Struthio camelus: one gene and its partners. The protein of the gene in region 2 purifies or fractionates together with the protein of the main gene of each other region. This does not show direct contact. Links are inferred from orthologs where the notes say so. Each region holds a gene or a part of one and is shown on either strand. Other genes may lie near its edges. The genes, in order: RALBP1, AAK1, REPS1 and AP2M1.

Region 1 (7,238 bases), on a different chromosome or scaffold from region 2:
TCCATAGTCCCCTCACAGCTTCAACTAACTGTGTATTTGCTGAAGCCATGCTCAACAGGGTTGATGGGCTGCCAGGGGGAGGATATGCAGGGAAGGGAAAAGAGTCATACCCTTCCTTTTTCCAAAAGCAACCTGCACGCTCACCTTTCTGGTTTGGGCCACGGCAGGCGGGAGAGAACTGCTATTTGGACAGTAATCATCTTTCAACACCATCCAGTTGGGCGATGCAGCCTAAGTGCAGGACTCCCCCAGGCTATATCCAGCCCAAAGGCAGGATCTTCTCTTTTTGATCAACGATTTCCGAACTATGGTGTCCAAGGTACCGGTGAACAGAACAACTGATGGATTCTTCAGGTGAAAGTCTGAAGTAGGCACATGGTGAACCACGGCTAGTTTTAAGGGTAGCGAGTGATTCACTGGTTCAAAATATTCTTAGACGCATTAGTCCAGAGTAAAGCTTAGTAGGTTATACTAACCATACAGTTAAATGAAGAAATAAGTCATACTATATTTTGACATTTAGATACCAGTTACATGACATCAACTTTTAAAGAAGGAAAATAAGTTTGCATTTGTCCGTATTTTTACACGGCAGCGTTGTTCATATCAGTCTGAAATAGCTTGTCAGAAACAGCACTGTTTACTCAGAAAACATCTAAGCCTTTGTTGTAAGAAAATACAGACAAATCATACTAGGGAAGTGCCTAGAAGATACGACTAAGATCACAATCCTAAAGTGTTAACATACAGTACACATGCACATCACTTTTGCTTTAACTACACCTACAGAACTAAGCAATACAGCACTGAAGCGATAATACAGTTATTGCAATACAAAGACAACATATTCCAGTATGGACATGCACATACAGGGAGGGAAATAAGCTACGCGATACAAGAAATCTTTCTACTGCATCTAAGTACAACTGCACCAGTGGTTTTACAAGTGAAAATTTTACAAACAACAAATAAAAAAACACCCCAAAACAAAATCCTCCAGCCCCACAAAGAAAAAAACCACATTTAATTAAGAAAGAATGATGCCAGAATTGCAGTTGAATTCTTAAAAGTCTGAAGCAGCTATTCCAATCTTCTATTTCCATTTCAGATACAGCAAAACTAAAGAACAGAAATTATTTTCCCAGAGTGATAGAGAAGAGATCCCTAGAACAGGAAACTTACAGTTCCCTGCTCTTCCATAATAAACACCCTACTATGGACATAATTACCTACAATATTACAGCATATTTTCAGCACATTTCAAACACCTCGAAGTAATAAACATTCAAAAACATAACTGTTCGGAAGCTTTTCTTCCCCACTTTTTACTCCTCTGCAGAAAAGAGCCCTCCACGAGTACGTGCCACACTGATTGCATAGGACTATATCAAAATGAATTATAAGTTGTTGTATGGCATCATTCATCAGAAGTTGCATGCAACATTTCAAATTATATCAAAAATGAAATCAAATGGACTCTTTAAAATTTGGTAATAAAGTCATATCTATCTACAATCAGACCAAACATAGCCTTAATATCACCCTTGAATTACACTGCATTACAGCGATGTTGAACATTTACAATAGTAGGTGCTTCAAGAGCTTTCCAGGTGAGAAATAGATGTGAGAAGGCAAATATTGCTGTTTTGCTATACTGGAACAAAAGACTTGCACAAATCCATCTATTTTATGCAACTTGTAAAAAGGTCCTAGCCAGTTATTCCTGATTGTTATTCTTCGTTGAGGATGACCATAAACCTTAGGGACAACAGAAAACAAACTGAAACCAAAACATTCTCGGGAAGAGATACTTTCAAATTATCACTGTGGTTTCTTGGTATTTTCATTATGGTTTGTCTTAAGATACTTAAGCGCTTAAGGGAAGAGCTACTTTTTTACTCATGTATGATGCAATGGTACATGATGTACACATTTTCTAAACAACATCATGAGGCAAGCAAACACAGCATGCTTGGACCTTGCTGAGCATACTAGGTGCAAAACTATAATGATGTCAATGAGAGTAAGAGTTTTCTACTTTTAAAGATGTAACCTCCAGCTGAAGGTAAATGAATAATAATAAAAAAAAAAAACTCATAGAAACCGAGGATGTAACCTAGAACACCTCTAATCTCAGCCTGAGCGACAGCAAATCTGACACATGCTTTGGAGCATGAGATTAAGGTAATAAGAAAATACGGCACAGGAGGAGCCTGACATCCACCCAGGGATGCACAATGCTCATTCTCATTAAGGACACGAGCGAAAAGAATGTCATCAGAGAAAGCCTAAGGACCAGATCCCTCTCCTGAGCAGTAAGACAGGAGACAAGACAGGGCTGGGACACATGGTCTCCGTCCCCAGCACTACCCCGCTCCTCCACTGGGGCACGCACGCCCAGCAGCTCAGCCGCCTTACCCCAGAGCTCTCAAGGGGGAAGCCCCCAGCCGGGGACCGACCACCCCTCCCTCCCCCCGCCGGCGGGGACGGCTCCTCGGGCAGCGCAGCCCACGCTGCTGCCCTCCGGACCGGCCAGGTGAGAAGGCGGCGTCTGCGGGCAGGGAAGAGCCGGCGACCCCGCCGCCCCTCACCCGGGGCGCCTGCCGGCTGGGGAGGCCTTGAGGCTGCCCCTCCCTCCCCCCCCGGGCGGCCGTTGCCGGGGGCGGGGGCAGGCTCCCCGCCACTCGTTATCCCCCCACCAGCCCGGAAGTGGCTTCCTCCTCGCCCTTCACCGGGAAACGAAGGCGGCCGGGCTGGAGGCTCCCGCCTCCGCCCCCCTTCCCTCCCCCCATCGGAGCACTAACCGTCGGGGTCCGGCTCGCCGGCGCGGCGGCTCCGCCTCGGCCTCACGCGCGGGGCCCCGCCTCGTGCCCCATTCCGCCTCCGCCGCCCGGCCCGCAAGGACGGCTCAGCAGCGGCGCGAGCTTCCCCAGCGCGCATGCGCCGCCGCCGCCACCTCCTCCGCGGCGCGGGGCAGAGGCTCGCGCAGGCGCAAAGCTGCCCAGGCCGGAGGCGGGGGGAGCCAGCGCGGGGGGGGGGGGGGAGAAGTAGGGCGCGTGCGCTGTAGCGTTGGGGGAAGGGCGCCGGGCCCGCGCGGGGACACCACCCCGGAAGAGGCGCTCTGCGCACGCGCAATAGGAGGGCGGGGAGACGAGACGGGGCAGGGAAGGAGACGCCCGTCATGTCCCTCCCCTGCCGCGCTTCCCCCGGGCGGGCGGGGCTTGCCGGGTATTGTAGTTCCCTCGGCGGAACCCAGGGGAAGGGGTAGCCGGTCGCTTTGCGGGCGTCGGACTACAACTCCCAGCGACCTCGCGGGGTGGAAGGCGGCAGCCGCGTGTTAGGCGGCTTCGAGGTTCGAGGCGCGGCCGTGCTGTCGGCCTCGCTCGTTCTTCAACTCCCGCGAGCGCTGCGCTGAGGGAGCGCAGGCTGTTGCGGGGGCACAAGAGGCTCCTGCCTCGATGGCTTTCCGGCCCTCGTCGGTCGTGGGGGCTGCCGTGCTCTGTGGTGCAGGACCCTGGCCTGCGGCAGCTGTGGGCCCTGCCGGGGGAGAGAGCTCCTCTGGCAAGCAGCCGGTGGCGTCCTGGGAGGGAGGCGGAAGGCCGAGGTTCACCTGGAAGCCCTGCGACCGGGGTGCGAGGGGAGCTGGTCCCAGCTGCAGGCAGCGAGGCACTTTGGGGCCAAGGGCTGAGTGGAGCACCGCTGAAGGGGGTCCCCGGAGTGACCCCTTCAGCACTCTTGTTTCAATGACGGAAAAACTTCATAAAGTTCACCGAAGGCGCCCTAACCAGACAGGAACAAAAATCTGCTTCTTTGAGCAGTTTTACGAGAAACATAAGCATTGGGAACGATTCATCAAGTAGTCTACGACTAAACCTGTTGTGAGATAAACCCCTTAAAATTTTTAACAGTGGAAAGTCAACAAACGTTGAAAGACACGGAACACAAATGCAAGAGCTGACACAGCTCTGTAGCTGTTTACATCCAGCCTGCTTTCTCAATAACATTGCTATCGACTTCCATGTTTACAATGCAAAAGAGAGCAGCCATCTACTTTGGCTTCATCTTGTGCAACAGATTTGAGCTTGCATCATTACCAGTTTGTCTTTGTGGCATACAAGAAATTGGAGAAATACTCTGTGACTCGAGGAGGTGATCTGTGCCAAGAAACACATCTCCAGCTCAACTCGCATCCTGTTTATAGTGATATTAAAAGAATTTTGTATTCTTTGTCTCTTACCATACAAGTTTCTGATTATGTTAAGCACCTGCATATCTTGAATCCTTTTCAGGATTCCTAATCAACAAGGGAATTTGTTCCAGTAAGAAGCAGACCAGTTCATTCCCACAGCCTCAAACATAATCCCTAAGCTATTGGACACATTAATACTGTGGCAGTGTGCCACCTGCTTCGTTTATTCACTTGAGATTCAATGCTCCTTAGTCCTTGTCAAATGGGTTCTTTGTGCAACCTTCTGTGGTAATGTAAAAGGTCCCCCACAGGAATTTGTGCTATTCAGTAGAAAATACAAAAGGGAGGGTTGTAAACACTCTGATTAGTGTTGGAGCACAGAGATATTGTCTCCACAGCATATTACATAATCATGCAACTCTCAGTTTCCCTCCTCCCTCCCAGAAGGAACAGTTTAAAGGCAAGTACTTACTGTTTTATTTAACTTAACATCACAGCTAATGGTTTTTGTTACACAAAGGCTGTATTATTTTTGGCAAAAGGAGGGAATGGTTTCTTTAGTAACATCTATAGTAATTTGAGATGATTGCCTGTAAGGGTCTCCACTTGAAGTGATAGTCACTAGAGGCTCTCAACTCCAAAGAGTAAGTAGTATCAGAGGCTGTTGTTAACATAAGCTCACAAACACTAGGCCCATCAGCTGATAAACAGAGAATGAATCTTCCTCCATTTTTTGCTGAAAACAAACAAGTAATTGTGTGCAGTACTGGACCAGCTTGCTGCCATATGAAATACAATTGGGTAATTTTAAACTTCAGAAACCTCATTGTGGTCCGAGGCCTGCTTACGCAGACTGAGACACATTCTTACGCCCTACACCTCCTTACATTCACTCTTCATAAATTCTTGCTGTTTTAAGGACAAAGTCAAGCAAGGATTCTAAGATGACAAACTCTCTGCTTTGAAATTCAGTCTTGCTTCTGTACCTGAGCCTCATAAATGTTACAAAATAATAATGGAGTGGTGGTCTAGAAAGCATTTTAGAAAAAAAGGAAAAAAAGCAGAGCTGTGTAAGCTGTGACTGCTTCAAGAAAGCCAGTTTTGGGTTAAGTTTGTCTTTTTATTAGTGAAAGATAGTGGGTACATCTTCTATTTGGCAGTCTGAAATAGTGCCTGAGAAACCATTTTAATATCTCAACTTCCAGGTTTACTCAAAGTTAAAAAAAAACCTCCTTTAGTCCATGTAGTTACATCTGCTGGTACCACAGATGGACTCCCTATGACACTGAGCACTGTCCTTCTTGCTCATAAAACTGAAAGAGCTATGTATGAAGTGGTAAATAATAGATATCTTCCAGAGATCAATTCAACTTCATGACTAAAGGCCAAAGGGAGCACAGTCATTTTATTATAGACACCTCCAACTTTCCTTTGTTGACCAAGCACATATTTGAATTGAGAGGATATCATAATGGAAGACTTGTTTCCATAAAGATGAGGAAAGTCTGTGTGTGGCAGAACTGGAAAGAAGAAGGGCCTGCTCCCCCTATGGCCCTCTCTTTCTTTCACTCCTGTCTGCACAGCAACTTCTTTTGAATGGGGAGAGGACACGATGAGAAGTGTTCACTCAAAACCCTTTGAGAGATGGGAGTCTAAATGGGCTGTACTATTCTGTGATAACTTTAGCACATTAGATTCTATTAAATTGTCTACCCTGGTGGGCAAACCACAGGTAGACACACTGCTTAATTCTCATCAGCCATAAAGAAATACACAGCAGTCATAAAGAGGTATAGCTGATGAAAGACACTGGCCGGCCACATATGAAAACATGCATGCAAAACAATGACAGCTTGAATACACCAAGGAAAGTGCAGAAGAAATAGATTAGTTAAAATCTTCAAAAAGCTAAGTTATTCATAGGAAGTATCACATAACAGGAGAGAACAGAGCCAGAAGAGCGATATGATAAAAAATCAGTTCGCTATACTGAGCTCTGCCTTTACAACTCCAATTAGCACTACGGAATCACACTATTCGCAGATCTTTGTTGTAAGAAGAAAATTTAAAAAGACATATGCAGTGAAAGGATATTAAAAAACTGGACCTTGGCAGCCTTCTTAGCTAGATTTGTTTGAAAAAGACTTTGTTCCTTCCAATGTCTTGTTTCTAAGTATACTTTAACTACATAGTACTTGGTCAAACAGATCACGCCAAGAACTCATCCATCAACACTGTCGCACCTAGTGGGAAATCTCAGGACAAGCTTTTTTTTTTTTTTTTTTTTTTTTTTAAACCCCAATAGACATTATAATCACTAATATGTTAGGTTATGTGATAAAAGACTTGTTGACGCAAGCACGAAAGAGCACTGAGGCACGATGGCAGGTGGGGGAATCACAATAAACCAGTCAGAGAAAGGAGCCCTGGGGCCAGGGGGACCCTTAACCATGAGGAGCAGCTCTGTGAGAGAGAGCGTCTGCTGGGGGCGTGGGACTCGGTATGGCCTGCAGGGAGGACTGTCTAGGGGTTGTACAAAAATTCCTATATGATGTTTAGGAGGAGGACCACAGGAGGGGAGAAGGAGGGATCAAAGTGGTTTGGGGAGGAACAAGTGTGGGAAAATAGTGGGATAAGGAGATAAAAGGGGCTGGACAGGTGCAAACAGGTTGCACTACGCTTGTCTGGCCATGCCCTGTGCCTCACCACCACTCTGTCCTGTCTGCTCCATAAATTCTATTTCTAGCTCTCTTCCTGTGTGAGGGGGCTCTATTCAGTGTGTGCATGGAGGCCTGAGTGCCACCACAGCGGGGCCACGAGTCACAGGGGCTGCGTGTCTCTCGAGTGCCACACTTCAGACACCGGAGCGTGTGCATATGGTGTGGGTCTGCACGTTGGCGTGTGATTGTGAGCCAACGTCAAGCCGGACTAGCCGGTGGCAGGGTAAGTGGCTTGGGAAGGCAGACAGAAACCAGAGGAACTGCGAGTTGGCTACCGGAGGCACCAGGATGTCCAAGTCAACTACTGGGGAGACAGCAGGTCCGGGGGT
Region 2 (7,255 bases):
ACCCGGAGGTATTGTGCAGGTACACAACGCTGGAGAACTCTGCAACCTAAGTGCTGGGGTGGGGGGCGAAGGGAAACTAGGAAAGCTTGTTACAACCTGCTGTAACTTGTTATATGTTACCTCCCCTGCCTTACGCACCCACTGTAGGACAGAATAGCAAAGAAAGATTTTAGTGAGGTTGATAAATCTAGTGGGGATGGACCCCACTCGCCTCCAGGACGGAGTTGCCTCCTGATAGTTAGATATAACCAGAGATAAAGCTAAGCAGGCTCTTTTCTACCTTGTTGCCACTTCCAGAAAAATCCAGAAGAGGTCAGTCTTCCCTAGCTTTTAGGTTATTCAACGTGCAACATTTCCAAACTTGTGCTCTTATTTAGAAAATGCTGAGCTGCCTGGAAAGTTTGATCAAGAAGGATGCAGCCATATTAATGTTTCCCTGTTTCTTCTCCTGGGGATCTGAATGCATTCTGTTAGTAGTATAAGGGAACCAGGAATCAGACAGATAATATAGAAGCAAACAGCTCTGCTGACTATGTCCTCAGGCCTCAAATATTTTAAAACCAGTCTCACAAGATTTTAGGAACTAAATTGTGGCGTTTAGTACTAGTCGGTACAGTACTAGTCGGACTGAGTTTCTCTGTGCAGTGGTACAACTCCAAAAAGCACACCAGAGATGCACCAGGCTTAGATGAGAGGAGGACTTGACCACGTCTCTGCTGGCAATCACTGATTAGCTTTTTCACGTAAACCTTTCAAGCTCAGGTCTCTCTGATCCCGATGAAGGTCACTGGGATTGCAGCAATGCAGCTGCACCTCATGTTTTCTAGAATAAAGAATGGCATCAGCATCTGCAACTGAGGATCTGCTTCTGCTATACTTTTGTTCCCCCAAACAGTCACCAGCAGAGTCTGTGGGGGCTTGCGGCAAGAACCTCAGGGCCCCATAGCTGCACATGGATCTGATACCGACTTGCATTATACCTTAGCACTTCCAGGTGCATTAAAAAAAAGTAGTTCTCAGTGCCTAGTTAGGATGTTCAGCAGTGCATCTGCAAGCTCTCTGCATGGCAGTAGGTTTTATCTTTCTTAGCTGGAAATGAGTCATTTCCCTGTACTGTACAGAGATGCCCAATTTTCTTGGAAATTGTTCAGTTCTGCAGAGTCTCCAGACATCACTGACTGCAGGTCTCTGCTATTTTACCTCAATCTTAATAAATGGCTGAGGATGTTTCATAGGTTAGACCATTTAAAAAAAAAAAAAAAAAGCAAGCAAGCAAACTGGACAGAACCCACGCTTTCTCCAGTTCCTACTCTATCTGCAGGGCAAGTGAACCTTCTGTATTCGCCATGGGCAACACATCGTCTAGCCACAAATAAAAACTGAACAAGGTTTAATGAAGATTAAATGCCTGTTAAATAAAAAGAGGACAGTTTTACTGCTTTTCACGTTTGTGACTGCTTGACATGATTGCCGCTTCAGCCATGTGGACCAAGAGCGTCTTGTAAATGAGACATGAAAATCATGTAAAGATTGGAGCAAGTTTGCAGCACTCTACAAACTTTGCGTGAATGATGGCGGTCCAGGAGGCCTTTGAGGTCCACACAGCCAGCTTGTAGGGCCTTACTTAGGAGAACCGCTGAGAATAAGGATGATGGAAGAGGTGTAGAGTTAACCGTTCTGGAGAGGCACAGTGGCTCAGCAGAAAAGCAACTGTACAGCGATGCTTACATCAGTAAAGCAGTTTTAGATCCGTGTCTAAAACATATGCTAAATTTTATCATCAACAATTGTATTTGCTTATACTGGGAGCCACTTTCACAATAACATGTATCTTAAAAATCTCCAAATGTTGGCAAAAGCAATTAGGTCCATTTACAACACGCTGATCCTGTCTTCTTGGCACTGTTGGAAGCCTGTGCCCAAAAGCTAGCCCATTCAAGCAAGGTAGCGATGAAGGAAAAAGAACAGTACAAAGCTTGTAATTTCTTTCGCTTGCGCATTGCTTCCCAACATATTCTCCAGGGTGTTTTAGCTACTCAGTTGTTTTCATTAAAGTTCTCTTTCTGAAAACAAAATCCAGGGTAAACATTTTTGCCAGCCCACAATAGCCAGGGCCTGCCTGGCCTATGCACATGGGACTGGGGCTTGTCAGCACGATGGCTGTAGTTATTACCATAATACAGGAAATAATAGTCATTAGGCAAATACGAACGCACTCTGGTTTCCTCTTTTGCCCCTCCTTCTGCCCCAGGCAGAGATGAGGAATGAGAGCGTGAGAGCGCTGCTTTCACAGAGGCGTCCCTCTCCGGCCGCAGACTCCGCAGGCTTTTGTGTTCCAGGTCGCAGGTCTAGGAAAAACCAATTCTTGCTGGTTTAACGTTCCCCTTTGCCATTCAAAACCCCGGCTCTGGCTCTCCCAGGTAACGCGTGTGGAAAGCAGGGATGGCTGCTGCAGGCACCGTCGGCTGGCAAATTTAAAGCTCTCCCGAGTCCTGAGAACTAGAAAATGGCTGAGAAGAACACAAAGTGCATTTTAAGAAAAATTTCACATGATGCAAGCTCAACTCACCGTTCTTTGATGTCGGGCTCGCAGGTTTGGGGTTCTTCGGACCAGCCACCTCGCTGCTGGTGAACATCTCACTGCAAGCTTGCAAACTAGACAGGTCCTGGAGAGGGGAGGAGGAAGAAGACAGAATTTAACAGAAAACCCAAGGCTCGGTCCCAGAGTCCATACGCTAAAGCCAGTGAGCGCTTTGGGTGCGTGGAGAGCGTTGTTCTCCGCGCCACGTCCTGAAAGGTACTGAGCACCCACGGATCAGCACCGGGGAGGCCTCTACAAAACCCCCAAATTACTTTGAAACAGGAAACTAAATAAACATCTGATTTTGGCAAATCCACTTAGAAAGAGCGTTGAGCCAGGCTGCACGAAATCAACCGCTAGATTTAAAACACTCAGCGAGTTCTGAGATGTTGGGGTACGGCCGAGTCCCTTTATTCGAGCACCTCTTTGTTCCCCGACCAGGCACAGTTTGGGGGCGGGGAGTTATTTTCTTCAGTGTGTAGTTTCTTGTGCCTTTTTTTTTTTTTTTTTTAAATTTGAGATTCTCAACCAGGTGCAAGCCGGGCCTGCGTGAAGACAAAGCCTTGGAGCTTCACTTCCAAGCTGTCAGAGCGGACAGTTTTTTATTGTTACGTGACACGAAAACGCCGAGGCCTTAAGTGTCCCCTGGAAAAAAACAAAACGCGCACAAACGGCTGTAACGGCCGCTCGTCACGGCGGGGAGAGCGTGCGCGCGCGCGGGCTGCGACCCCCTGACAGGATCCCTGCGCGCAGCGCGGCCCCGCGCTCCCCCTCGGAGCTGGGGGGGGGGAACATGGACCCCGCCGCCCCTCCGGTGGCCCTCCGGTGTCGCCGGCCCCCCGGGGCAGCCCGCAGAGCGCATCGCCGCCAGCGGGGGCGAGCGGGAAGCCCCCCCCTGCCCCGCCATCCCCTCTCGGCCCCGCATAACGGCGTTGCTCGCGCCGCGCTGCCTGCTGGGACTTGTAGTCCGCGGTGCGGGGAGGGGGTGGTGGTGGGGGAGGCGGCGCGGCGCCCGCTGGAACTACCGCTCCCAGAGTGCCGCGCGGCGGGGCCGGCCGCCGCCATTATCCACCCCCCCCCCCCCACAAGCAGGGTCTCTCGCCCCTCCACGGCGCTGAGGCGGCGGGAGGAAGAGGGGGGGGGCTCCGCGGTGGGGGGCAGCGGCGGGGCTGGGCCGGGCCGAGCCGAGCCGGGGGCGGTCTTGCCGCCGGGACTTCCTGTGACCGCCCATTTCCTGGTCGGATGGGGCCGGCGGGCGGCGGCGGTGGCGGCGGGGTCGGTGCCTGACGGACTCGGTAGCCGCCGGGAGCTGGACCGGACCGGGCCCGGCCGGGCCAGGCCAGGCCAGGCAGCGATGCGGGTACCGGGCCCTGCCGGCAGGCGGCCCCCGCCGTGAGCCGCGGGGGCTGCGGCTGGGGCAGGCCTGGGCTGCATGGAGGCGCCCCCCGGCCGCGCAGAGGTACCGGGCGGCCTGACCGGGGGGAGGCGGCGGCGGCGGCTCCGTGAGGGGGAGGCCGCGCCGCAGCACTGACCGCCCCCTCCCGGTTTTGCAGGTGTGACTCTCCTTGAGCGAGGCGAGCGCGGCTCCCCCCCCCCCCCCCCCCACCGCCGTCCCCTCCTCACCGGAGCCCGGCGGCGGCTGCGGGACCTCGGCGGCGGCCCTGAGCCATGAAGAAGTTTTTCGACTCGCGGCGGGAGCAAGGCGCCTCGGGCCCGGGCTCGGGCGCCAGCGGCGGCGGCGGTGGCAGCGGCGGCCCCGGCAGCGGCTACATCGGGCGGGTGTTCAGCATCGGCCGCTACCAGGTGACGGTGGACGAGGTGCTGGCCGAAGGTGAGGTGCCCGGGCCTGCTGCTGCCGCCGCTTCCCGGCCCTTTTCCCTCCTCCCTCTTTCCTTAGGGACGGAGGCTGCGGCCTCCCTCTTTACCCCTCTTCTCCTCCCTCCTCCTCCCCCCCCCCCCCCAATATTTCATCGTCCTTGAGGGACTCGCACTTGTGTGCTTTGACGTTTCTGGGTCCCCCCCCTCCCCACCACGTCAACCCAGTGTGGGTTTGCTGGGTTTGCTTTACTTCTTGTGTTTTACAGACTTTAGGAATTGCAGGTGTTTCAGAAGCTAACGCTTTCCCCCACTTTGTGGCTTGCATGTATATATCTTTTATTAAAGTCCAAGTTGTCATCTGTTCTGGTGGAGAGCAGTGTACCTGTAAACAAAGAAAGCAGCGGTCTTCTAACTTTCTTCAGCCAGTTCCCTCCTTCCCTAGCTTAGGGTGAGGGGATGGAAACGCTAGAGTAAATTCCTTGCGTGTTTATCACACATGTATGTAGGCTGAGTAGAGCTAGCTCTTATCTGAGATGGGGGATTGCTGTTTGTGTGGAGTTTCTGCAAGGAAAATGGCAAGCCCACTTTTTGTTAAGAAAACATTTTAGGAAGAAGAAATGAACAGTAGAGGTTATGAAGCTCCCTATGGACACAGTCCTTGCAGTGCAGAAAGCTGGTGGTATTATTTTTTTAAATTGTAACCAACACTGCTGCTTTAACTATCATTTTACGTTTCATTTAGTTGGGCATAGGGTACCTTATGCGTGTCTCTGGCTGGTAACCTTAGCCTCAACCTTCAGAGAGATGTTAGCCTCTTTAGACCTGCTCCCGGGCCATCTCCTGCACAGCATCCTTTGTAATTTTGGTGAGAAGTGTTTTGTTTTGATTGTATAATAGCAAAGGAAAGGGTAGCTAATGTACAAGAGCTGAGTGAGAGGGCCTGTATTGGATTTTACAGACAGAACCCTAAAATGGGAGACCTGTAAGGGACTCTGTGTGTGTGTTTGGGTTTGTGAGAATTATCTCAGTGTGAAAGAATATCTGTCTGCGACCTTTTTTTTTTTTTTCCAGACGTGCTTTTTCTGATGCATAGGTTCTGGTGCATGCCAAGCTGAGAGGAGCACCAGAAACAGTCCTTCAGCTCATAACTATAGCAATTTTTCCCCCCCCGTCTCCTTCCTTGAACTGGAAGTTGTAATATGGATTTGCCCTAGCTGATACTTCTAAGGCCCTTTGGCCATAGCAGCTTAGGAACTAGACAAGTTAAACCTGAGTGGCTGTCACAGTGTTCCTGTCTGCGCACTGGCCTCATCCTGGTAACACAGGAAAATGAGAGACTTTTTTTTGCTGATGAATAATCTGTTGGCAGGTCCTGCCCTGCTGCTGACAGCAGCAGGACGTGAGCCTGTATGCCACTGGGCACTCTTCCGCTCAGCTCACTGAAGCTGCAGCCAGCAAAGGTGCTGGGCGGTAGGGCAGACTGCGTGGGCAAAAGATTATCGTGGGAAAAGTGCCTCCCCTTCATACCTTGCTGTCTCGAAGGAACTGCTACTTGTGAAAGCTTTTCTCTGTGACTCTTGGGTTCTCCGCTGGGCTGCGGGATGGGCCTAGTGCTAGCTACAGCTGTTAGATCTGCTTGCACGGGCTGGTAAAGTAGGCATGACGTTCTTTTCTGATCATGCCATAAGGCAAAGGAAGTTCTCTAGGTGAAGTGTGCTAGGCAGGTATTTTCTCACAGTTAGACCCCTGGTACAGGCAGTCGGAAATCCCTCTGAATGGTGAGTGGAGTCTCCAAAGAGACATGAGCAAGGTGGCTTGTAGATTTGCGGGTCATCACCTTTTGATGGGAAGGGAGGAGAATGTTTCCTTTATAAACACCAGAAAGGCCTCGTAGGTCATCTGGGGAGACAACATAGGTTATAAGTGTGGCAGCTTTGCATACTTCTGACCTTTTGGTGTAGCTGCCGGTGATCCAGAACTGCTAGCAAGGAGCGTTTTTCACTGACTCGGCTAGAGATCTGGGGAGCTGTTTGGCAACCTGGACCCTGTGCTACTGAGGTCTGAATCCTTGTCTAGAAAACTTTTTGTATCTGGTGTTAATTTTGCTGGCTCAGCAGTATTGGAGAGCTGACTTGCAAAGTCTTGACTGTGCTAAAAGGAAAATTCCCCTGGGAAGCGCGTTGCAGGAGGAGATGGAATATCCTGCCTGCGAAAGAAACCTCTCTCATCCCCCTTACTTTAGAAGGGGGAGAAGGGGCCTGTGTGTTGGTGCAGCATGTGAAGCATAAGAAATTAAAGTAGGTGTAAAAAATGGCTTAAAAGAAGGACTCTGAAATGGTGGTGGATGGTGTGGGGGAGACAGAGTTGCAAGCCTGAGGAACTGGTTGAACCAGAACTTTTGGAATTGAAGTGTTGGGATTTACCTCTGTCTGTCAAATCTGTGACCAGCCACCCTCAATTCTGCTGAGCAACCCTGCTGAAGAAGCCTGCTCTCTGGCTCAGACAGGAAGTCCTTAAACGCAGGCACAGTGAAGTGTGCCGGATGGCAGACTGGCAGATAACTCCATGTGCTGTCAGTCCCTTGGGCAGATCCCCTGAGATATCCAATGCAGGTTGGTACTCCCCCCCCCCCCCACCCCACCCCCAATAGTTGTGTCTGGATATGTGCTTTCCTGGGTGGGGAGGAACAAGTCAGGATCCTTCCATCTGGAAGGAAGTAGATGGGAATAATATAGGAAGGGATTTGAGTGGTTGTTTGTGGCATTATAATACAGGTAAATCAGTATTTTCTACAAACAGTGTAATGCGATAGGGGGTTCTTTGAGTCTCTGTAGTCATCTTCCTCTAGTCTAAGTA
Region 3 (7,295 bases), on a different chromosome or scaffold from region 2:
TAACTCTTCTGTTGCAAACAGAAACTTCACGCAAACATAACTCCTGGCAGGAAAGGCTGTAGATGTATCCAGTCCCAAAACAACAGGTTTGCAAACAAGTCATGCATTTTTATTTTCAGCAGCATCAATTCTGAATTATTCAAAAGGTATCTACAGATCTGTATTGCTAAAGAGAAAAACTTGCAGGTTGTTCCTCAGGACTATCCAGTTCCTGTGGATTTGAATAGCAGCAATTTTGCATCAAGTTAAACTGAACACCAGAAAAGTATTTAGCATTTATGTGATTAGGAGGACTACACTTTATTTCAGGAGAATATAAGAACTGAATCGAGTACCTGAAGTAACGGAATCAAGTTCCTTTCCCTTACAAATACCAGGACTTTTAGGGAAACAGATAACAGAACACAGAATTGGGTAGTTAACGGAAAGGAAAAAAAAAAAAAAAACATCAGTGCCCATCACAGGGTTTCATCGATATTTTTTAAACTATGCTACATTGAGTTTTTAGTTGTATACTCACAACCTCTGAAGCATCAAATATCCTCTGAAGAACATGCACTAATATATCCACGTCTGCCCTAACTACAAGTACAGCTGTACTTCAATGCGAATATAAAGAACCAGGCAACTGGTCCTCTCCCTCACAAATACCAGGTACTTCACAGGTGACCAACATTAAACGCACAAGAGCAGCCTGACCTATGTCAAATGCAAGGGCATTTTGACTTTCTTTGCATTATTTACAGTCTCATTCCTCATGCAATCTTAACATCTTGTTTACTGTTTTAACTGCAAGGTTTTCCTTGAGATCACTTTAGTGATAAGCCAGGTCTGCTTCTGGAGTTAACAATTTATTTAGAACCCATGGAATGATGCCCGAGTAGTTTTTCTTTCCTTCAGATGCGCTCTCCTTTGCGAGAAAATATGTTACCTTCTCTGTACAGATAAGAATATAGTCTGTGGCCACTTGTATCCAAAATACCAAGTCTTTCTGCTCTTGCACTAAACCTTTGCATAGAATAAAATCTCTAGCACTAGCCTATTTTACCTACACAATGATCCAGACAGCTTTATGGAAAAGAGATTTTAAATACACCAAGCAGGTAAACATCCACTTTCCTGGGATGAGTTTTCTGAAATGCATTGGCCATAGACAAAAAGAAACAGTGAGTGGCCTTCAGGAACTTCATTCATAATACTGAACGTGAAGGCTCTCTTAACATTATGCACACTCTAGCAAGTTATCAAATAAAAGATTATTAGTTTTACTACTAACAAACATTTATTTTAGCCTTAAAAAAAGGAACAAAAAAACTCCCAACCCCTGACAACTATCACCCTCTTCTACTGAGCTGAAACATGTGATTCAGGGTATCTTAAACTCCTTTAACTAATCCAGTTGTTTTTATGAGCCCAGAAGACATTATCAATAACCCTTGCTAAGCATAAGTATTCTCCTGACATTTAGTACTAAATTGCAGAAAGTTGAAATGTGTGTCCTGTAGTTCTGGCTACAGTAACGCTGATGCTTTATTAAAAGGGCTGTTTATCTAGGAAGAGCGTGAAACTGCCTAACATACAGAATGCCTTTTAGATGCAGTTTTACCCACAGCATTTTTCAGAGGCGTTCAAAATACAGCATAAACTTTAAAGCACGAACACTGACAGGGATAACTGCAAAAGCAATTACTACAAATATTTATTGATTAAGCATGGCACCCTGTGAATAATTTCCTCAAATAATTACACGAGGCACATCAGAGTAGACTTTCCCTGTTCTGCATTGGTAGATCTGTAATACAATCACAGCTTTTACATCTTACCTGGCCAGGAAAAGCAGTGCTAAAACTCTTCATATACGTATTACAAGTACAGGCCTAACTCAATACTGCATTTTTCATTGCAAGAAAACGTTTTGGTGACTACAGGTAAGTTAATACCAGCTGGGAATAGATGCCTAAAAAAGACTGCATAACATAAGCAAAACGAATCAACTTCAGCTGTACCCAAAAATACAAACCCAGGTTTTCTTCTGTAGTACTCTTCACCACTGAATTGTAGGACAAACCTTCCTCACATCCTAAAATCAGTTTGTGGGGAGGGGGGGGCAGGGTTCTCATGCTTTGGATGGACTTTATCAACACAGAGCAAACAAGACACTTTCCTACCAGTTGCTGGACATGGCCACTGGAGTTTATCAGCGGACCTTTCCCAGTCTTGCAACTGGAAGCCCCACACACACATAAGCAGGGGCCCTACTAGGAGCACGCTCTGCCCAGCAACACGCGGACCCCCCCTTGCCTCCCTGCTGGAGAGGCTCAGCCCTGCCACCCTCCCGCCCGGGCTCAGGTGGACGGCTCCAGGCTCGCCTTAGGCCGGACAATAGCCCCCGACCGCCCCGGGTCTGGTCCGGCCTCTCCACCCCGGCTCGTTACCCGCGGCGGGGCGACCCCCGCCAAAGGGCTCCCGGCCGGGGAAGGACGCGAGAGCAGCCAGAGCCGGGCCGAGCGCACGGGAGGGGCGGCAGCCCCGGACGAGGCCGCCTCCCCGCGGGCTTTACCGGCGGGGCGGTGCCCAGGCCCGCCGGGAGCGCGGCCGCCCCGCGGAGAAAGGGCGGCTGCGGCTACCTGCATGACCACGTCGTTGGGCAGCTGCGCGGCGCGGAAGAGCTCCAGGACCCGCCCGTTGGACGCCACCTTCTTGGTGCTCTCGGTGTCGCAGTAGGAGAAGAGGTCGCAGTAGTAGCGCTGCTCCGCCTCGCTCAGCGTCAGGCCCTCCATCTTACACCCGGGCACCGCGCAGCGCTGCTGCTGCCGCCGTCGCCGCCTCGCATCCAACGGCGGCGGCCTGGCAGGCGGGGGCAGGAGAAAGCGCGCCGAGCCGCCTCACGCCGCCCGGCCCGGCCCGGCCCGGCAGGGGAACAACGCCGCCGCCGCACGCCCAGCCAGCCGCCGCGCGCGAGCGGCCGCTCACACCTTCCCCCGCCAACCGCCCACCCGCCCCGCCCTCCACGCCCACACGGCGGCGCGCCTGCGCGCCTTCCCCCGCGCCTGCGCCAACCAGCGGGCGAGCGGCGGCGGCGGCGAGAACCACCGGAAGTGCAAGGCCCAGCGGGGCGGGGCTAGCGGGGAAGAGCGCGAATAAAGTTCCCGAGCGGCGCCCTAGGGCCCGCCCCCTTACCGAGGCCCGGATATGCAGCCGCCGCCGGAGCGGAGGGGGAGGTGTTGTGCCGGGCGCGCGCGCGGCAGCGCCCCCTGTGCGGCCGTTGGGGCGCGTGCGGCGGGGCCTGGTGGCGCCCTGCGGCGCCGTGGCGGGAGCAGGGTGCTGCCGGCTGCGCCCTCCTCCTCCTCCTCGGGGCGCCGGCGGCGTCCGTGGCCTGCTCGCCGGTCCGGCCGGGCCCGCGCCCCGCGGCTGATGGGGCAGTGGTAGAGGCCCTGTGTCGGCGCGGCTGCGCGGGCGCCTTCCTCGTTTGCAGGCCGGCCTGAGGAGCAAGCGAGGGCAGGGCTGAATGGTTTCCACAGTCTGCCTTCCCTGTGACCTAGAGGGCTCCGGGAACAGAGGCCTCCCTAAAGCAGGTTTTCCTGATAACTGATGACTGCTCTACCCAGTGTGCCTGACTATATCCTCAACGTGCTTTCTTCTTCTACCCTCAGTGCTTCATGCAGCATTGCTACATAACACAATACTAGGAGGTGCCTTGGTAATAGCTCCATACATCAGCCTAGCAAGAAAGAATAAGTAAGGGCTCGCTTGTCTCTTCAGCCGGAGTTACCACTCTGCTTGTCCCGCTCTCTTTTTCCTGGACTCTACTTTGGTGGGGAAATGTAAGCCCTCACCAGAATACAACTGCAGTTAGTTCTTTGCAGGGTAACTGTGCTTCTGGAGCCAGTCTGCCATTCCTGACAGTCGGTTAACCTGTGCAGAATGTCATGGTCTCATACTAGACCCTTGCTAGTACCTGGTCTGGTTTAAATCCTGCTGAGGTGGAAATCCTAGTATTTAGAGACATTGTCTCCCCCTTTCTCTTTTTTTCTTTTTTAAATTTATCTGTCTTTTTTTCCAGTCCGTCTTCCTTCACAGCTCTTCCTTTTCTCTTTCCGAGTGGCTGCTGCTGCCTTTGTTGTACTTCACTTAACCATCTCATCCTTTTTTACCCATCAGCTCTGATTTCTGAATTTTGATTCCAGCATTTGTCTTCTATTTGAGCTAAAAGAACATCATTATAATTTAACAAGGTAATACTAATTGTTTTTCTGCAATTAGATAGTTCTTTTCTGAACTTAAAGCAGAGATTAGTCTTTCTTGCTCTCTTTGAAAAACATAGTATATCCTCTTGCTGCTAACTAAATTTTCTAGAAACCACTGAAAAATTACTTTGGGAAGATCCATCTTTGTGTTAACTGCAGAAACGTACCATTATGGAATCTTTTGCAACCCCAGCTAATATTAATCATGAGACCACACAGATTCTTCATGTTTCTCAGTTAGTTAAAATTCTTTATGGGCTATATAGAAGAAATTATAATTAACTTTATAAAATCATAATAACTAGATATATCAAAAACTGAGATAGGAACAAATTAGCATCGGAGGTCAGTTGATTGGAGCCATTGTCACGTATTTCTGTAAGTAAAATGAATATCACCTTTCCTCTAGGGCTAAATTGCATACTACAATACTATCAGTTAAACAGTCATTTGTAGGAGAGCTTTTAAAAGTGCTTGCTAGTAGGTGATTGGGTTCAAAGAGCATTTGTTTCCTAAAGGTTCAGTGATTGTGTGCTGGTTTGGGCACTACTATTTGGAAGTTAAATCTATGTATGTATCTACAGCCATAAACTTCTTTAGAAATTAGTTTCAGGACACAGAAGTAGTTATACTTGTCAAAATAATTTTATATTATGAGTTTTATGTCAAAGTGTGATGCCATTATTTACTGGAGAGTTGAATGCATTGGGGGAATATATGGGACTTTTCACTGTTTATACCACCACTCTGAAAACCATTTAGGGAGCTGTTTTGGAAAAGAAGCTGTTTGGTTCCATTTCCAACTCCCATATCATAAACTTACCTCCTTGCCTTTGTGCTAATTCAAAGACTTAGCAGAAAGAGTGAGAATAAAATGAGGCATAGCAAATTAACTTCTAATTCCCAAGGGCTACATATGTGGGAAACATGTTTGCCTCAGTCCCATTTACAGTGTATCTGTGTTTGGCTATGGGATCTCCTTTCCCTGGACAGGACCTTTGCAAATCTCCAGAGCGAGGTAGGTGTTCAGAACGTTACCTGTTCCCATCAAGTCAGACTCCAGGTCTACTGAGATGAAAAAATTAGCTGGATTTTTCAGTGATAATTTCTGTCTTGTTCTTTACCTGTTTTGTTTACTCTTCAGCACTTTCATTTCTAGTTTATTAGTTTGGGAAGATCTGTATCAGAGCATTTCCCAGAGCTCGTTTTAGGTATGCAAAGAAGGAGGTTTATGGCAAAATACTCTCCCAAGTATATTTTCATTTTTGATGTCTTACTACAATAAAAAGTTGATTTAACTGCCTTAAATTATCATTTAAACATAGCAGGAGGAGCTTTCTTGGCTTTTTAAGGTACCATACTCTTTATGCTCTTTTTAATTCACCTTAGAATTCAGAGTTACGAATTAAGAGTTAAACTATTCTCCAGTTGGTGCCTAATTTTACTATATTTTCTGTGAAGCAGATGACATTAATATCAAAGCAATCATTCTTTTAAAGGAACAAAATCAGAGAAATCATCACTGGAGCCCCAGAACTAAGGACCCAGATAGTGCAAAGTTACTTTGCCCGTAACAGTTTTTAGAATCAGAACCAAGTTAAGCACCAATAAAACCTTGTTTTTTAGAAAAGGAATACTTTACAACTTACTATGCAACCAAAAACATGCATGTCAGTTGCTGTTAGGAAAAAAAAAACCCGAAACCAGATATATTGTAATGTTTTATTCATTTAAGGGAATTGCCAGTTAAAACACTGTTCAGATTTCAGTATCTTTTATCATTATTTAATGTTGATTTCTAGAAACTAGTTGTTAAACATGCTGAGACTAATTTATAAATATAACTCAAACACATGCATATACAGAGTCTTGTCTTTATCAGGTGTAATGGGAGGGCCGTGTCCCAGATCTCCCTGCTTCTGATGGGCCTCTGAATTCTTGTTGGAGAGTCTCATGTGCTGCCATTATTTGCAGCAAAATAAGTCATATGTTTATATAACTTTTTTATTGAAACACATTGAAATAACTTTTAATCTTTTACAGTTTGGGCACACTTTCCATCTTGTACCTCTTTCCCCAAGTTTAGAAGAATGGCCCTGAGGTTATTTGTCATTGCTTTTCTAAGTTTTTTTCCATACATAATGCTGTGGAGCAGGTTTTACAAACTCTGTCAATACACTCCTTTACTTGCAACTCATCATGAGTTGCAGGAACTTGTTCTGTCCTCATCCCTTAGTGGAAAGAGAAGTAGAGTAATGCTAAAAATGAATGGGAGATCGTTACAGAAATCTGCTGCTGCTGACTTCGGAGCTGCTTTGGAGGGGGCATACTTTATTCCTAGACAGAAGAATATTGTGGGCGTTTCTAAATCAAAGAAGTCCTTGTTCCGCTTTTCTAAAAGCCTCCTTGATTCCTATCATATGGAAAATCAACACTTTTAATGTAAATACAGTCTTTTTAGAGACTATATAGATATTTGTGTCTACAAATCTGTAAATTTCTCCATGTGTGTTGTATGAGTTACACTTTGTGACATCTTGTCAACCTTGATAGTTACATTCTTGCAATTTTGGTAAACTACAAAAACACCAGTTTTTGGTTAGGTTATACCTGCTGGTGATTTTTTATCTTCTATGGAATAGCATCCATATTTCAAAAAATCTACCCTCATAAAATCTACCCCGACTTGTCTTGCTAGATTATTTCTCCACCAAAAAAATGCCCCATGTTTTAGTCTGTTTTCAATGGCAGATGAAACAATTCTTTCCACGCGAAGCTATGTAGCAGACAATAACAACAAGGAGTCTACCATTTTTTTCTTTTGGACAGAGAACCCCTTTGCAAGGAGTGTTCAGCGAGTACACAGTGAATCTCAAGGAATACAGTTACCACAATGTGGTCGTTCTGATCCCTTCTGCATCTCTGTGCAGGCACATCCCATAAGGGAATGTAACTTCTTTCTCAAAAGCCTCTCTAGCATGATGTATAACCATTAAAATACGCATGGGGTCCCGGCTGGAGACATTTATTAACTGTGGAGTATTTTTT
Region 4 (7,434 bases), on a different chromosome or scaffold from region 2:
ACTGCCGAACTGCTCACTCTTGAGCTACAGCTCTGAACAGTGACTTGCATTCTATTCGTCTTCAACAGAAAAGGTTAGAGACACGGACTGCGGTTTGAATAAGAGCTTGTATTCTGCAGACCACTAACGGCCTAGATACCCCAACTTGCCAGTATATCTCTTTCTGCTATGACTTTGGAACAGATAACTGCATTTCATATCCCGTGCCTCAGGCTGCAAGCTTTCAGCTAAGCTGCCAACCTCCTGCTGAGATCAAAATAAAGCGTGGCTTGCCAGTAATTTTTGACTCTGCTGAAAAGCAGCTCTGCAGAGAAGGACCTGGGAGTCCTGGTGGACAACAAGTGGACTGTGAGCCAGCAATGTGTCCTTGTGGCCAGGAGGGCCGATGGCATCCTGGGCCGCGTTTAGGAAGAGCGTTGCCAGCAGGTCGAGGGAGGTGATCCTCCCCCTCTACTCAGCCTTGGTGAGGCCGCACCCGGAGTACTGTGTCCAATTCCGGGCCCCCCAGTACTAGACATGGCGCTACTGGAGAGAGTCCAGCAGAGGGCTACGAAAATGACTAGAAGACTGGAGCACCTTTCCTATGAGGAAAGGCTGAGAGAGCTGGGCCTGCTCAGCCTGGAGAAGAGAAAACTGAGGGGGGAGCTCATCAATGTGTACAAGTATCTAAAGGGAGGGTGTGAAGAAGATGGGGCCAAACCCTTTCCAGGGGTGCCCGTGACAGGACAAGAGGCAACGGGCACAAACTGGAACACAGCAGGTTCCATCTGAATCTGAGGACAAACTTCTTTCCTGTGAGGGTGACTGAGCACTGGAACAGGTCGCCCAGAGAGGTTGTGGGGGGTCTCCTTCTCTGGAGATATTCAAAACCCGCCTGGACGCAATCCTGTGCGACGTGCTCTAGAGGACCCTGCTTGAGCAAGGGGGTTGGACTAGATGATCTCCCAAGGTCCCTCCCAACCTCGGCCATTCTGTGACTCTAGTCATCTACTAAAGGAAAGAAGCAGGCTGTACTATACAGACCTATTACATTTTGGCACCCTGGGCTGTACTTCTGTCTGTCCTTCAGCTAACCCCAAGAACATTTTTAACACGCACTAGCAGTCTTCAGTAGTATAAGCTTAGAACACTAATGCAAGACACTTTGTGTTGCACAAGAAAGTTTTGTCTCATCCCTGCATCAAGAAGACCTAAAGCTAAGTTTAAGTAGGGTCACAAGAAATTTTTATATAAAGCATGTTTTGTTCAGTGACTATTCCCATCCCATCAAAAAGATTAGAAACTCATCCAATCAGCAGAGCGCACTTCCAGTCATCTGTGTTTCAAAGAATTCAAGATTCAACCCTTCACAGCCTCAAGACTCAATTCTTAGAAGGCTGGAAATGTGCTCTCTTGAAAGGGAGAATTTAGTCATGATACCCTTCAAGGGTATCGGAAACAGGTTCTCTTCTTGGAGACAAAGATGGCAAGCTTGCAACCCAAAGAACACCAGGTATCCTTGTCACTAGATGTCAGTAACATGGCGTTCCCAACAAAAGCAATGCTTTCCTTCTGACAGAAAAAATATGGAAGTAGGCAGTTTGGCAGCATCTCACCAGATGAGATACTGTCCCTGCAAGCAAAACTGACGGGGACAAGTCTGTCATTTGCTACTGAACAGAATAGTAACTATGGTCCTCACAGCATTCAAGAGAACACTACCTAACAAAACACCACTACAGGAACCTATATTCAATTAGAAATCCATAATATCTCAACTTCTGAGCCACAGCAGAAGCCATCCAGGCTCACCTATCTGGGAAAGCTCCAGGCTCAGATTTTTGGCAGCCTGAGGCTAGAAGTTGACAGCAGCTTTGTCATCCTAAAGCAAGGAAAAAAACCAGAACTTCAAAATTTACAGTTTATAGAGAGAAGACCAGATCAAACAAGACTCATTTCCTAGTGAGAAGTCAACTACATTGTACAAAGGCTGCATTTCCTGTAGCCTTACAGACTCCAAAAACCTAGACCATGGAAGAAAGGAAGTGGAAATGCATTTAGAAGAGCTGTGGGATAAGGGCCCATTTCAAACCTCAGAACAAGGACAGTTCAGCATCAGCAGAGCTATAGTCTGCCTCAGCAGGTTCTCCAGAAAGGAAGCTAGAGGGTGCAGTCCACGACCTAGCTAATTCATGTTCATATCAGGAGTACAGATAAGTCATTTTAGGGGAAGTTCCTGCCTAATCCGACCGCAAGACCTTTGCTCGGGGTGACCCAGCACAGCGGTGCAGACCTTTCCCCAACACCCTGCACCGCTCAGGTCTTGCCTCTGCCACCACCACCCTCACCCGGTCTTCAGCAGCACCGCGGACACGAAGCCGCCACGACGGGTGTTCCGGACAGAGCATTAATTAACACAGGCGGCTAACAACCACCTCCCCCCCAAAGCAACACGCGAATAGATGCTAGCCAGCTCCAGCCAGCGGCGAGGCTGGGGGCCACCCCGGGAGGAGGCCCGGCAGCCGCTCGCAGCGGGCTGAGGAGCAGCTCTCCAGGGAGAGCCCGCTTCCCTCCCTCGCCGCCCCGCCGGCTCCAGGCGGGACCCCGGGGCGGCCCGGAGACGCTGCCGGCCCCCCCCAAGGGCAGCCGTCGGGGGGCCTCGCCCTGACAAGACCCCCCTAGGCCTGTCAGTGCCACGCCGCGCCCGCCGGGGGAGGCCCGCAGACCCCCGCCCCCGGCGGGTACTGAGGGAACCACCACCCAGGGCGGCTCGGCCCCGAGGAAGAGACGAGCCCCACCGCCCCGGGAAGCCGCCCCGCGGGAGAAGCGGGACACGCACCTCCGGCGTGGAGGAAGAAGGACCGCGCGGCGGCGCCTCACCTGCCGCCGCCCGCTCGCCGCTCGCTGCTCACTACCCAAGATGGCGGCCGCCACCCCCCCCTTCCCTCCGCGCCCCCCCTATCACTGCAGAGCCGCCGCCGCGCATGCCCCGCCCGCGCCCCGCCGCAGTTGCGCATGCGCCTCCGCGGGGAGGCAGGGCGGGGACTGTGCTCCGCATCCCGCCGAGTCGCTCGGCGCGCGGGGGGGGTGGGGGGGGCCGCTGAGTATGCTGGGAGTTGTGGTCCTGCGGCGCGGCGCGCGCTGGGAGTTGTAGTCCTATGGCGCGGTGCGAGCTGGGAGTTGTAGTTCCGGGAGGTAGCAGAGCTGACACACCCACGCGTGGAGTTGCGCAGGCCCAGCAGCAGCCCCCCCGGCCCGGGGGGGGGGCTCGAAGCACGGGGCATCCCCTGCCCCTCGGCATGGTCCGTGCGAGCAGGGCCCTCAGCCCACTGTCCCCAGCAGCCCTCAATTCCCTGATCCGCAGGGGGCTGGGGATACCCGTGGGACACAGCCCGTGGGGAAAGGTGGGTGCACTCGGCCAGGCCCCCAGCTGCCGTGCCCAGCCACAGGCACTGCTGCTTTCCCATCACCCACCCGCGCCATCCCCCCTCACAGGCCATATGTGCAGGTGCTCCTGGGGCAGCTCGCCCTCTGCCACCCTCTCCCCCTCATCTCATCGTGCCACGGGCAGCCAGGCAGAGCCCACTTCCAGAGCTGCCCAGGCCCCAGTCATCCCCCCACCCCCCAACGCATGCACCGCAAATATCTTTGCCTTACAGGCCCAATGAATAATTTTTCATCTTCTAATGCTGTGATCAATCAGCTCTTGCACCAGAAAGCAGCAGCAGGAGGAGGCTGGGACAGGCCGAGGTTAAGTCATGGCAGGTCTCAATAGCCCAGGAAGAATAGCTCTGTTAGAAAACAGAGAGGCTCAGGCCCAGGACAGCCCCTCGATGCCCAGAGCTTGCTGCCGAGCAAAACACAGGAGCATAGAAAAGAAGAGGGTGCTGAAAAAAAAACAACACGAGGCAGGAGTCCAATAAAACTATGTTTATAAATAAAAACAAGGAGACTGGTTTTGTTTTTATAAAACCCAGAGGGCAGGGCAGGGCAGGGCAGGGCAGGGCAGTGAGCAGTGGTCAGGGGAGGCTGCTGGGTGGCATTACGAAAGGCAGGAGAAGGGACAAGCAGCAGCTTGCCAGCACCAAGATCAGGGGACAGGAAGATGGCAGAGACTGGGCAAATTGGCACCAGCAGGCACAGGAAGAGGAGAGGCTTAGGGAGTCATAGGGAGATGAACTGGTGGCACACAGGAGCTGGCAGAGGGGGTGCAGGCACAACGCAGACCCCAGAGGAGCAAAATACATTTCATCTCCAAAATATAAAAAATTCAAACATAAGAAAGAAAGGCTGAAGGAGGCAACACTGTTGCAGAGAAAGCCATGGTCAGCAATATGAGAGGGCGCCAAGACCAACGGGAGCAGGGTCCAATGCATCCCTACCGTACCGTGCTCAGCCCCAGGCTCTGAGGAGGAGGCCGCCCCCCACCCCCTAACCCAAGGCACATCTCCTTCCCACACCACTCTTGTAGAGTGGAAGAAAGGCTCCACACACCCCAAAGAGGAGGAAAAAACAGAAGGGAGCATCAGAGCAAACGGACTCAATTGCCATCGCAATCCTCTGTGGGCACTGAGCCCAGGGCCCTGCATTCAACACCACAGTCCTTAATTCACAGGAGGGTTTGCGTCTCTTTAGGGAGCCATTTGCATCTAGGCTGGAGCGGGGCAGGCCCAGCTCTGCAGCTTTCTGGGCCCAGAGCCCCTTCCCTCCCCTCGACAGGCCAGCAGAGCTCATCCCGGGGGAGCAGAGGGTGCGGCTGGCCAGCGAACACAGGAGATCTCCGCTTTCCCCAAAAGAATGAAAGCGGACCAGAAGTGCCCCTCCCTCACCCTCTAGCTCTGTCCAGGCCACCCACACATCAGCATTGACTGTGGGAGATGTTACATTGCTGAAGGGAAGCGCAGCAGAGCAGGAGGGGGAAGGCCCCAGCTGCAGACACTGGCCCCAGGCGAGGGGCAGCCCCTACACAGGAGACAGGCAGCAGGGTGTGCTAGGCAGGAGGGCAACGCCTGGGCCTCTGCACCCCCTTTGGCAGAGCAAGCAGAGCTCTGCCCTTACATTCACACCCGTGCACACCACACACCCCCCCAGGCCTCGACCGGACATGTTTAGGTACCCAGCGCCAGTCAGGGTCGGATGCCGGAGGAACGGACCCAATCTCAAGTCTCGCTGTCAGGGAAGCAGGCAGGAGGGTTCTGCCATAGGGTAGCGCCAGGCTCAGATTTGGCCCAAGGAGCGGCAAGGGGAGGGAGGCTAAGGGAAAGTGGCACCATCCCTCCACTCCCTAGAGGCAGTGAAGCCCTGGAACATTCATGCATTAGCCAAAAGGCAATTACACTTGGATTTAAACACATATAAGGCCAGAGCTGGGCGCTGCTCCCCTCTCAGTGCTGCGGAAAGGGCAGGGAGTCTTCCGCTAGGGGGAGAAAAGAAGACATCTTCAGCACCATGCGTGCCCAGCGCCCTTGGAGCTCCGTGTCCTCCTGTCGGGCCACGCCACGCTCCAGCTCTCCCCCCTGCGGGCGGCAGGCTCAGAGAAAGTCAAACACCCCGTAATTCTTTGCTGCTTGATAGAAGAAACACAAAAGGGTGAAAAGAAAGAAGAGATGTTTAGGGCAGAAGGACTGCGGCAGCAGCAACACACGGGCAAGCAGCACAGGGCGCTGGGATGGATGCAGATTAATGGGGTTAGAGAGGACGGCAGGAGGGAATTACCATCGGCAATACACAAGTCTGGTGGCAGGATGGGCTGGCAGAGCTCAGCAGGCCTGCCAGGCCCCTCCACCCCGCTCGAGGAGGGATTAGAATCAAGGTTTAGTTCCATTTATTTTTTTCCCTTTTTTTTCTTTTAGTTATCAAGACCAAAAAAAAAAAAAAAGACCCATAAAAACAAGGGGTGAAGCTGGGGCTGGTCCTAGGAGACAAACGACTGGGGATGGAAGGGGGAAGGAGGGGCAGCAGACAGACAGGGGACGGGCGCTTCACATTACATCCACAAAGAACTCACTGGGGTTGCCCATGGCCATTCGGAAGGACTGTCTACTGGCTGTCAGTTCTGGGGGCACAGAGGCCAGGTCACGGCCCGGCGGTGCCCCGGGGGGCCCCATGGCTGAAGGCGGTGGAGGCATCAGCAACATGGGGGGGCTGAAGAGAGGGGGGAGGCCAGGCGGCCCATATGACTGCTGGCTGTGGTGGCTGCGGATACTGTGAGCCAGGGAGTGCTGGCTGCGCTGGCTGTGCTGGCTGGCAGGCACCGAGCGCTCACTGGCCGCACGCTCACGCCGCATGCTGCTCCGGGTGGTGTGGTCCGACTCGCTCCCGCTGCCACCTGACTTGGACTCTCCAGTCTTCTCTCTCTCCTTCCTCCTCTCGCTGCCGCTGCGATTGGAACCACTGCTCCGGCTCCCTGCAAAACACACGGGGCAAGGTTAGGCAACACATCAGATAAACCAGGAAGAAAGAATCCTCTGCTCCCCACCAAGACAGGACTACAACACACTGCAGCACAGCTACCAGACTGCACAGTCCATGGTCTCACTCTCCGTTCAACTCTAATCCCATAACCCCTGTGGGATTCCTCTGAATGAAGGCTTTGATCTGGCTCCCCCATGCATACAGCCTTGCCTAAGGGACTAGCCTGTTCCCGCAGCTTCCCCCAAGTGAACAGGGCACCTGCTCAGCTCTACAGGCACATGTGGGTCCCTTTCACTCACCTTCACTGTGCTGGCTGCCTGCACTGCCCCCTCCATAGCTGTAGCCTGGGTCAGGGAAGCCGGGGTGGGGGTTGTATGGATGAGGTGGTGGATACTGATATGGGAAAGCCATAGGCCAGGGTGCGGCTCCCGGGTGTGGGAGCGGAGCCAAAGTGTCCTGATCGGAGGCACCGCTGGAGCCATCATGATCATGAAGAGACAGGTTAGCCATGTCTGCAGGAAAGTAGAGAACAGGGGTTAATCCGAGTGGAAAGATAGCCACGTGTGATGAAACAGCATCATGTCCACCCTTGTCGACAGGCAGCGATGCGGTACACAAGGAGGTAAGAGAAGCTGGCACCCTCCCTGTTAAGCAGTACAGCCACGTGTGCCTCCCGCAGGGACAGCATCCAGGCTGCGAGACTCGGAGCTGTCACTCCGAGACAGAAACAAGCTCAGAGGGAAAGGACCACATCAGAGCTAGAGCTTGCCTTGCCAATTAGTCTCATCCATCCTTCTCATTTGAGCAGAACCTAGCTGTCAAGAGCACCGCTCCCTTGCCAGCAGTGAAAGCTCAGAGCCTGGAGCCAAGTACAGTCAGAAAAGGCTAAGACTCTACTTTGGCTGCCCAGGCAAAAAGACTGCGTGGCACACGATAGTGTCAACAACGCTCCCAAATTCACAGCCCCAGCAAGCATGACAAGGGTGCTGGGACATTTTTCACTGCTCTCTAAAGAGAGCTGTACAACAAGGGGCCAAGTCT

The links.
Region 1: the proteins of AAK1 (region 2) and RALBP1 purify together in Homo sapiens (affinity purification with mass spectrometry; 3 studies listed by BioGRID and IntAct, counting the BioPlex papers as one, with this or other methods). This does not show direct contact. The link is inferred for Struthio camelus from reciprocal best matches to the Homo sapiens genes AAK1 and RALBP1.
Region 3: the proteins of AAK1 (region 2) and REPS1 purify together in Homo sapiens (affinity purification with mass spectrometry; 3 studies listed by BioGRID and IntAct, counting the BioPlex papers as one, with this or other methods). This does not show direct contact. The link is inferred for Struthio camelus from reciprocal best matches to the Homo sapiens genes AAK1 and REPS1.
Region 4: the proteins of AAK1 (region 2) and AP2M1 purify together in Homo sapiens (affinity purification with mass spectrometry; 5 studies listed by BioGRID and IntAct, counting the BioPlex papers as one, with this or other methods). This does not show direct contact. The link is inferred for Struthio camelus from reciprocal best matches to the Homo sapiens genes AAK1 and AP2M1.

Annotation. Positions count from the first base shown.
Region 1 is NC_090943.1:116,298,733-116,305,970, forward strand, and holds the start of RALBP1 (ralA-binding protein 1), read right to left. Parts: upstream 3,015-7,238; 5' UTR 2,805-3,014; intron 1-2,804. UniProt on the Homo sapiens protein: Multifunctional protein that functions as a downstream effector of RALA and RALB. As a GTPase-activating protein/GAP can inactivate CDC42 and RAC1 by stimulating their GTPase activity.
Region 2 is NC_090968.1:3,007,587-3,014,841, reverse strand, and holds the start of AAK1 (AP2-associated protein kinase 1), read left to right. Parts: upstream 1-4,249; coding exon 4,250-4,412; exon of another isoform or gene 4,413-4,520; intron 4,521-7,255.
Region 3 is NC_090944.1:75,177,678-75,184,972, forward strand, and holds the start of REPS1 (ralBP1-associated Eps domain-containing protein 1), read right to left. Parts: upstream 3,013-7,295; 5' UTR 2,781-3,012; coding exon 2,628-2,780; intron 1-2,627. UniProt on the Homo sapiens protein: May coordinate the cellular actions of activated EGF receptors and Ral-GTPases.
Region 4 is NC_090950.1:22,546,371-22,553,804, reverse strand, and holds the start of AP2M1 (AP-2 complex subunit mu), read right to left. Parts: upstream 3,004-7,434; 5' UTR 2,860-3,003; exon of another isoform or gene 2,819-2,859; intron 1-2,818. Other genes in the region: DVL3 (segment polarity protein dishevelled homolog DVL-3), read right to left, coding at 5,961-6,385, 6,693-6,905.